2 linked regions of the Oryzias latipes genome follow. The protein of the gene in region 2 purifies or fractionates together with the protein of the main gene of each other region. This does not show direct contact. Links are inferred from orthologs where the notes say so. Each region holds a gene or a part of one and is shown on either strand. Other genes may lie near its edges. The genes, in order: golm1 and slc7a14.

What was found.
Region 1: the proteins of slc7a14 (region 2) and golm1 purify together in Homo sapiens (co-immunoprecipitation; 3 studies listed by BioGRID and IntAct, with this or other methods). This does not show direct contact. The link is inferred for Oryzias latipes from reciprocal best matches to the Homo sapiens genes SLC7A14 and GOLM1.

Annotation. Positions count from the first base shown.
Region 1 is NC_019867.2:11,007,530-11,011,349, forward strand, and holds part of golm1 (Golgi membrane protein 1), read right to left. Parts: coding exon 3,674-3,820; intron 3,547-3,673; coding exon 3,492-3,546; intron 3,406-3,491; coding exon 3,303-3,405; intron 2,454-3,302; coding exon 2,330-2,453; intron 1,266-2,329; coding exon 1,124-1,265; intron 1,010-1,123; coding exon 791-1,009; intron 656-790; coding exon 491-655; intron 319-490; coding exon 221-318; 3' UTR 220-220; intron 1-219.
Region 2 is NC_019880.2:5,381,340-5,385,830, forward strand, and holds the start of slc7a14 (probable cationic amino acid transporter), read right to left. Parts: upstream 3,084-4,491; 5' UTR 2,979-3,083; intron 1-2,978. UniProt on the Homo sapiens protein: Imports 4-aminobutanoate (GABA) into lysosomes. May act as a GABA sensor that regulates mTORC2-dependent INS signaling and gluconeogenesis. The transport mechanism and substrate selectivity remain to be elucidated.

The sequences.
Region 1 (3,820 bases), on a different chromosome or scaffold from region 2:
TGTTTTTCCTCCTCTTGCTTAGATTGCGCCTCATAATCTGGTGCACTTCTCAGTGTGAAAAATACATTACATCCTTATCTTGGAGATTTTTTATGCTTTTTACAGGCGATATATATGATTTAAACAGAATGTTTTATTCTCATATGTGTCAACTGTGAAAAATGGAAGTCTAAGAAAACTAAAAAACAATAAAACTCCCTGACGTGTTTCAGTGCATACCTCAGATTTGGGCAAGAGCAGCTTGTTTGTCTGCTTCAAACTCTCCCTCGTTTTCATCGTCTCCGTTGTAGTCGGCCGGATCTTCGTCCATGTCTTTGTCTAACAAAAAGTGAAAAGTGTCAACAAGCATGAGACAAACGTTCACGCTTTCAACAAATACATCCTTTTCCTCAGAGTGTCTTCCAACTGTATTACAAAGTAAGGGGTTTAAGCTGCAGTTGTGCTCTTGTTTGCTTTTTTTAAAAATGTAAATTGAGAAACAAACACATACCAAGGTTTTCAGTCAGCATACTCTGGTTTTCTTTCTCCATATCCACTCCATCCACTTCTTGCTCCTCTGCGTCATACTCGTCTTGTTCCTCAGGCCTCTGACCAACCGGACGATCCTCTGCCTTCTCCTGACTAATCAGCATGTTTTCCAGCCCTGGGTCGACTTCTAAGAAGCAAAATTTGCATTTTGTTGGAACTGTCCAGCAATGTAGATAAAAGTAAATCTGACACCTAACACTATGGGAGCATTAGTTTAAAGAAACCTTAATTGATGTTTTTCTTCATCCCGGGAGTTTTATACCTTCAATCTGGGCTTCCTCGTCATGAATGTTCATCACCTCCATTTTATTATTGTCAGACAGGCTTACAGGTTTAACCTCATCTGCCTCGGCCTTGTCCTTTGTGAGGTCTTCATTTTTTGACAGCTCTACTTCATTGAGTCCAGCAGCAGGCGGAACAGACTGTAAAGGCGCTGTCAGGAGGTTCTTGTCCTGCTGTCTGCTTAGTGAGGCATCAGAGCCTAAAAAACAAAAAGGTGGGGAAAAAAATGGTGACATTTCAAACTTCACGCTAAACTGCATTGAGTGCATTAAGACAAGTATACAACAAATTGAAAGTATTCTCCCTTGTATACCTCTGTCGGTGATAATTTCATTGGTTTGGAGCTCCAAAGTTGCATTGAGTTTGGGCTGAGAGATGATAGAAGTGTGGCTTTCAGCTTCTGGCACCAATACAACAGTTGAGTTTTCTTGCAGTTCTTCTTTAACTTTGTTTTCCTGCATTGCAAGGAAAATAAAATGTATTTCCTTTAAATTCAAAAGACAAAACAAGTAAGAAAATCTGCAAAAATCCTTGCTGAAGGATGGGGTATCACCTAATGTACAGAAGTTAAAATCTTTAAAAAATGCACCAACTTTTGAGATGCACAAAAGAAAAGCATTACCGTATTTTCCGGACTATAAGTCGCCCTTTTTTTCATAGCTTGGCAAGGGGTGCGACTTATACTCCGCAGCGACTTATATTAGAAATAAATTGAAATAAATACATTGTTAACCCTCCTGTTATGTTCATTTGTGAGGAACAGAGATGATGTTCCTGGGTCAATTTGATGTATGAGGTATGTTAAGTGTTAAGAGTATGTTAAGTGACTCAGAGAATCAGCAAACTTTTTTTTACAGTAAGATCTTGAAGGCTAACAACATAATATTCTATTTTCCAATGATTTCATAGATTCGGAAATGCAATAAAAGTGAAAACTGTTTCTACAAATACAGGATGAAAACAGAGTATTAGTTAGCCAATGATGCTTCATGAAAAGAATAAATAAATAAGTTTGAGAAAAAAATTACTGTGAAATTATGAGATAAACAGTCTGCTATGATTGTGTCATATAAGGTTGTGAAAGTTAAAATGCGACTTATAGTCCAGTGCGACTTATCTGTGTTTTTTTCTACTTTATAATGCATTTTTGGGCTGGTGCGACTTATACTCCGGTGCGACTTATAGTCCGGAAAATACGGTAGTTTATTAATTGGCATTAAACGTGTTGTAAAATTGCTACCAAACTATGCTTAAAAAAAAAAAAAAAAGTTAAGGGATTTTATCTGAGTTTATGTTTGATTCTAATTTCTGCAACTTTTTAAAATCTTATGACAAAACACATTCTGAGAAATTCCCCATATCTAAGCAGCACAGCTTAAAGCTTTTTTCAGCTAAGAGACTTCAACCCAATTTTTGAACGAGCATTTTGGGCTAACTTTATTCTGAGGCTCAACAGAAAATCTATTTGAAGTCATGAGGAGATGCAGTCTTACAATGTTACTCATGTAAACCAACTCACCGGTGAGATGCCCGCTTCAGGTGAGATGAGCTTCTCCATCCTCTTCTGGACTTCAAGCGTCGCCTTGGCCACTCGGTCGTCGCACAGCTCTTTCTGAGAAAGGACCTGGGACTGACAGTGAGCCCTGCAGACATGAACCCACACACCTGTGTTCACCTGGACTGAAGTGTGAAAGGGTGTAAAGGCTTAAGCAACTACTAGCAAAAGAGAGAAACAATGAGGCAGTTTTTCTGGAGAAAACGAACCCCAAAATATTAAACAAAAAAACTGCATGTTTTTAAAATTTAAAAAGTCTCTTAACTTAAATAATCATGACCGCTTTTTATTTTGTAAAGCATAGAATTAACATTTTTTAAAATAAAATATTAAAAATTAATAAAAATCTACACCTTGAATAACATTGATGAACATCTCTACACAGTTTGATGAAAAAAACGTTCGAGTTTTACAAATAGCACGACCTAAATTATGAAGACAGGAAATCAGAAAACAGGAAATCAGGTCTGTGGTAGTACGTGTGTTTTACTCTGTGTTTTATTTTTATTTTTCTTAAGTATTTTTCTCTTTCAGATGGAAAATGTCTCGTGTCTAAAATTTGTGCCAGAAAACTACTTTTCCCCTGAAATAAAGTTAAGATCCATTCAAGTCTCCATCCTGTCTGTCAGACGTTTGGGACATTTATGAAACAGGCGGGCGGAGTACAGGGGTCTTTTGTTCTGGAAATTCAATTGCAAGCTTTACTGTGTGAGCGAACGCAGCAGGAGATTGTGTAGACATAGTGTTCTGGAGGCCAAACACATCTACTTTCCATTTCGGTGAATACAAGTAATGATTATCTACATAACTAAACAAGTTCCTGCAGCATTTTCATTGTGTCTGTTTGCAGAGAGTATGAATGTTGTCAGACTGAACCATATGAAGTAAAAATAAAATACATGGAAAAGGCCTTCCGCGTAATATTTCTTCGGCTTACATGTCAAATGTGAGTTTTTTGTCCAGTGTTTCAACGTTGTCTTTGCAGTTTTGCAACTCCTTCTGGACCTTCCCCAAGTCATCATTTAACTGATTCAGTTGAACTATAGGACAGGAAAAAACAAGGTGGGATAGTATGTTAAAATAGGAAACAAAGAATGAGACAAGAAAAAAGTGGTTTCAAAGTTACCTTTGAGGTCCTCTATGGTTCTGGTACTGAAGGAAACATTCTGCTGCATTGTGGCCTAAAAGACACGATGGAGCGACATTACAGCAGTTTGACAGTTCAGGATCCTATTGTTGCTCGGATTCCAAACATTTTCCGAAGCCCTAGAATTCTCAGTTTCAGCTCAGAATGATGCTGGTGTTCACCTGCTCTTGGCTGCAGGTGGTCTGAACTCCCTCCAGCTTCTTCTTGTAAAAGTTTTCGATTTGAGCAATCTGGTCCTTCTGTCTCTGGATCTCCCCCTGGAACTGATTCTGCTTGATCTCTGCAGCTCCTCGCTCAGCTGCTCCGCG
Region 2 (4,491 bases):
CAGTTTGCGGAAAAATCCCGCCCCTTTAACTGTCTCCGCCAATCACTTTTGAAGGCTTAATCACATGTCATCAGTCTGACCAATCAGAAGTGCTTAAAGTCTTCACTTCCTTGTTCTTAATTCTGCTGAAAAGTCGCTCAGTTCTAACAAAAATACCAGCTAAAGCTCGTCTTTAGCGGTGTAGCTTTCCACAGAATCCGGTGTCAGACCGTGGAACAAGTGAACAAAACAATGAAGCTCAGAGACGCGAGTCCTTCTGCCCTTTTTCGGCCGTTTTCACACTACATCTCCCATGATGCATTGGCTTAAAGGGACAGCGCCTAATGAGTCGACCTTGTGAAACGTCTTGAAACCACAACAAACAAACAGTTTCTAAATTTTCTAATTTAACTTTTATTTCATCTCTTAGAAAAAACAGCAGCAACTTCCTGCTTTTTCTACCACAATTATCACAAAAATCCACGTGAGATTGTGGCGGGGGGGGGGGTCTGTCGATCAATACAGACCATGAATTTCTGCTTTTTTATTTTTTTTGGGATGCTGGTGTGCCGCGGGATTTTTGTCAAGGTTAAAGTGTGCCGTGGCTCAAAAAAGGTTGAAAAACACTGGACTAGATGACCCAACTCCCAATGTTAAAGTGCCTAGGATAGCACAAGGGTTAACAAGCGAGTTGGTTCGTGTTTAATCCCATAATTATTATTTAACAGTGTTATTGCGAAATTGTGGGGGGGATTTTTCTACATTTACAGCATCTCAATAAAATTGTCAAATGTGTGCACTGGAAACACAGCTAATGTCAGTTAAAACAGTTAGTCACCTTTAACACTTTTTCTACGGCGGTCCTGAAGTACAAATCAATCAATGCAAAAACTACTTTTAAAGATCACAACAACAATTGAAAAATCCAAACAAAAAAAACAAAAGAAAAAACTATAACTATAACATTATTTCCAAAAACGGAAATTTTCAGGACTAACAACTTTTTCCGGTTTCTGTAAAAAAAGAAACACAAAGAAACAAAATGAAGCACAATAAGAAAAAGACGGTACTGTGGGGCATTGAAAGTTATTTGGCATGAAGCAAAACTGGAAATGTTCTGTACTATCCATAAAACATTTGTAAGCAAGCGGCCATCGAAGACACATTCAAAAATTTCAAAAGTCAAATGTTATCCTCCAATCAGCAAAGTCCTTTACCAGTGTTTTATGTTTAAACATTTCATGTTGATTTCTGGAAATTACTTTTGTTTTCCAGTTTATTCTGATTCACTTTTTAGTGTTTGTTTTACTTTCTGGAATTGTGTTTTGATTTCTAAAATGTAATTTTGCTGTTTTTTTTTAATTATTATTATTTGTTTCACAATTTTAATTGTCGTCGTGATTTTTAAAATGGTTTTGAGTCGAGTGATTTGTAGATGTGATTTGTGCTTTAGGGCCACCATAGTTTTGGTTTGGTGTAGTCTGTAGGGCTTTTGCATCTTTAACCCTTGTGCTATCCTAGGCACTTTAACATTGGGAGTTGGGTCATCTAGACCCACTAGACAGTGCTCTGAACCTTTTTTCTTCAATGATTTGTGATCTTCACTGGTGTCCATGGATTACATGAAATCTATCCACCTTTGTCATGGTAGGGAGAACACGTCAATGTAAGGGTGGGGTCATCTAAGATAGCACAAGGGTTAAAACAACTGAAGTATCAGTTAATGCAAAATATAGTTTAAAAAAAATTATAAAATACTACAAAAAAACACCTTTCTGTGGAGGAGTGCAGCTTGTTTTTTTTTTAAGTTGAAATGATGCTGAACAGAGCAAGGCACGAGCAGACAGTGTCCACGCCTTAAAGCTTCTGCATTCATTTGTTTGCACGTGTCTCTCTGTTCTCTCTTTCCAGGCTGTGTTTCTGTGAGGAATATTCAGAGAGACACTCTGCAGTTGCCAAACTGGTTCGTTATATAACCGTCTGCCTTTTAATGATGTTGTTTTACGCCATCAGCTCCACCATCGTGGCGTTTCTCTTTATCCTTATTGAATAAAAAAAGTGTGCAAAAATAACAAGAAGCTGCTTATTTTAATCTTTGAAAATGCAAAATCTTCTAAAGTCATATAAAAAACGATTTACTGGTAGAAGATCTATGCAAACAGAAAAAAGCAAAGGATGAGTAAATCGACTTAAGTCTAGTCTTAAAAGACATATTTAGTGTAGACACCTGTTGAGAAGTGACAGGCCCGTCCAGCCTCCACAGAAGCTGTTTTCTGATGCTTGTTTTCAGCAGCAGGACATCATCAAAACTGAAGAGATGAGAAGAGCAGAAGTAAAGGGGGAAAAAAAGGCTTGTAGCAAATGGGAAAAAAAGCAGAAAGCCAGAGATCTGGCTATGTCATTAGGGATTAGCCCAGTTTCAGAGCTTCGGGCTTTCAGTGTCTGAGTGCTGCTGTCCTCACACCAACACGCACTCAGACCCAGCAGCGCGCTGAGCGCCTGCGCTCTTTGGAGGATCAGAAATAAGAGAGCTACAATCCTCTTTGTTTCCGAGATTTTACTCTTCATCTAATTAAAAATAATAACAAATATATATTTCACCTGCAAAAAAAAAAACGCCAGCGCCAAATATCTCTCCTAACCTGTTTAAGTTGAGTCAGTCCCGCCACCCTCTTCTCCTCCTCCTCCTGCAGCTCTGGTCCGCTGGGAGAAGCGACACCCGCCCCAACCCCCCCCCCCCCCCCCTTCTCAAAGTAACACACCGCAAGGGTAGGATGCAAGAGCGGGCAGGGTAAGACCCCCCCCCCCCCCCCCCCCCCATTCCGCCAAACATCCCCTTCCCGCCGCGGTGTGCGCCATCGCGCGTAAAAAAAGGGAGCAGAACAAAGGAGGACGATACAGGCAGGGGAAGGGGACCGGATAGGACGATGATGGTGGGGAGGAAGGTGAAGCGCGGAACGCAAGTTTAAATAAAGAAAAAGTGGTGGGAAAACACTCACTGTGGCGCCGCGGGATCAGAAGATGCCCATGTCGGATGTTGCAGTCGGTCAGCAACATCAGCAGCAGCATCTCCGGGCTGCTCGGTGCAGGAGGGAGGAGGATAAGGAGGGGGGAGGGAGGGAGGGTGAGGCTGATGATGTAAAACGCTTTAAATCATTCAGGAGCCCGCTGCACGACATGTGACCGCCGACACCGTGGATTACTCATCCGGTTCGTTTTCTGGCCGGTTGGGGAGCAGCAGGAAGGGACACGCCGGTGCCCGCCCCACCGCCGTGATTTACACAGATCTGAGCATGATATCAGATCATAACCACAAGACGCCCCCATGCACCACCACGGCAGGCGCGCATGGCTGGCCTGAATGGTCACACAACAGACTGCTTTCAGATAAACAAGAAGATTAAGAGATTTGCAGGCTTTACATTATAACTTTTTTTCTGTATATTTCGAGAAAAAGAATGTTTTGATCAAAAGTCAAAATCTGTCAGCATCCAAATAAACAGTGATTTTCTGATGTTATGATGAAACTTTATATTACATCAAATCAAATATTTGGAGCTTCATCAAATATGAACATCTGTCACTGATATTTTGTGTTTGAGCTTCAACAGTGACATTAGCTTCAGATCAAAATATTATGATGTCAACATATGGCCATTTTATTTAAGTTGAGCAGGTTTTAACGGTTACAAACGACGCATATGTCCAGACAATCTTAAATTACCCAGAATCTTTAGTCAGTTTTTTTTGGTAATAAACTCTAAAAATAAAAATTGGAGAATATGAGCAAATATCTGTGCAAAGAGGGAAATTACAAATGTGAGGCCACTGAGATTTTAAGTGAGCTGTTATCTTTTTCAGGATTTTTCATTTGACCTCTTTCTCAAAGTAAAGGTCAACATTTGGTACAATTGTCACACAAACGTAACGAGACATCGCTCAGCTCCAACCAAATTGAGTAGATTTCAGTCACACAAGAAAACTCTGTCAGTTCTAATCATGTCAGATTAACACAGTAATTGAAAAACTTCTACATATGTGATTTGCCTACAGACATTTGTGGAGGAAGACATCCCGAACCACAAAAATCACGAGTGAATCCTTCACTTTTCATTAGCAACAGGCAGAGGGTCTATTATGATAAAGGTGCAGGGGCTTTGTGCTGAATAAATAATGGGCACTGATTAAATATTCAACAGATGGTCATGTTATTTGCAACAGATAGCCTTTAATGACAGCTGCATTGTGGGTAACTACATGTGTTGAGTGTGCATGGGCCATTTTATTTCTTACATCAAAGTAAATGCTGTGGAAGCTGTTGGAAAACTCACAGAGGGCTAGAAAACCTGTTCTGAAGTCTGTCCTGCAGTTTTAGACGAGTACAAGACACAAATATCTTCTAGGTCTAGGATGTACCATTCATCCTTACAAACGAAAAAATGTGGTGTTAAAATGTCATCCTGACCTGCTGTTGGATTAATCTGCATATATATTTGATCAAAAAAACTAAAG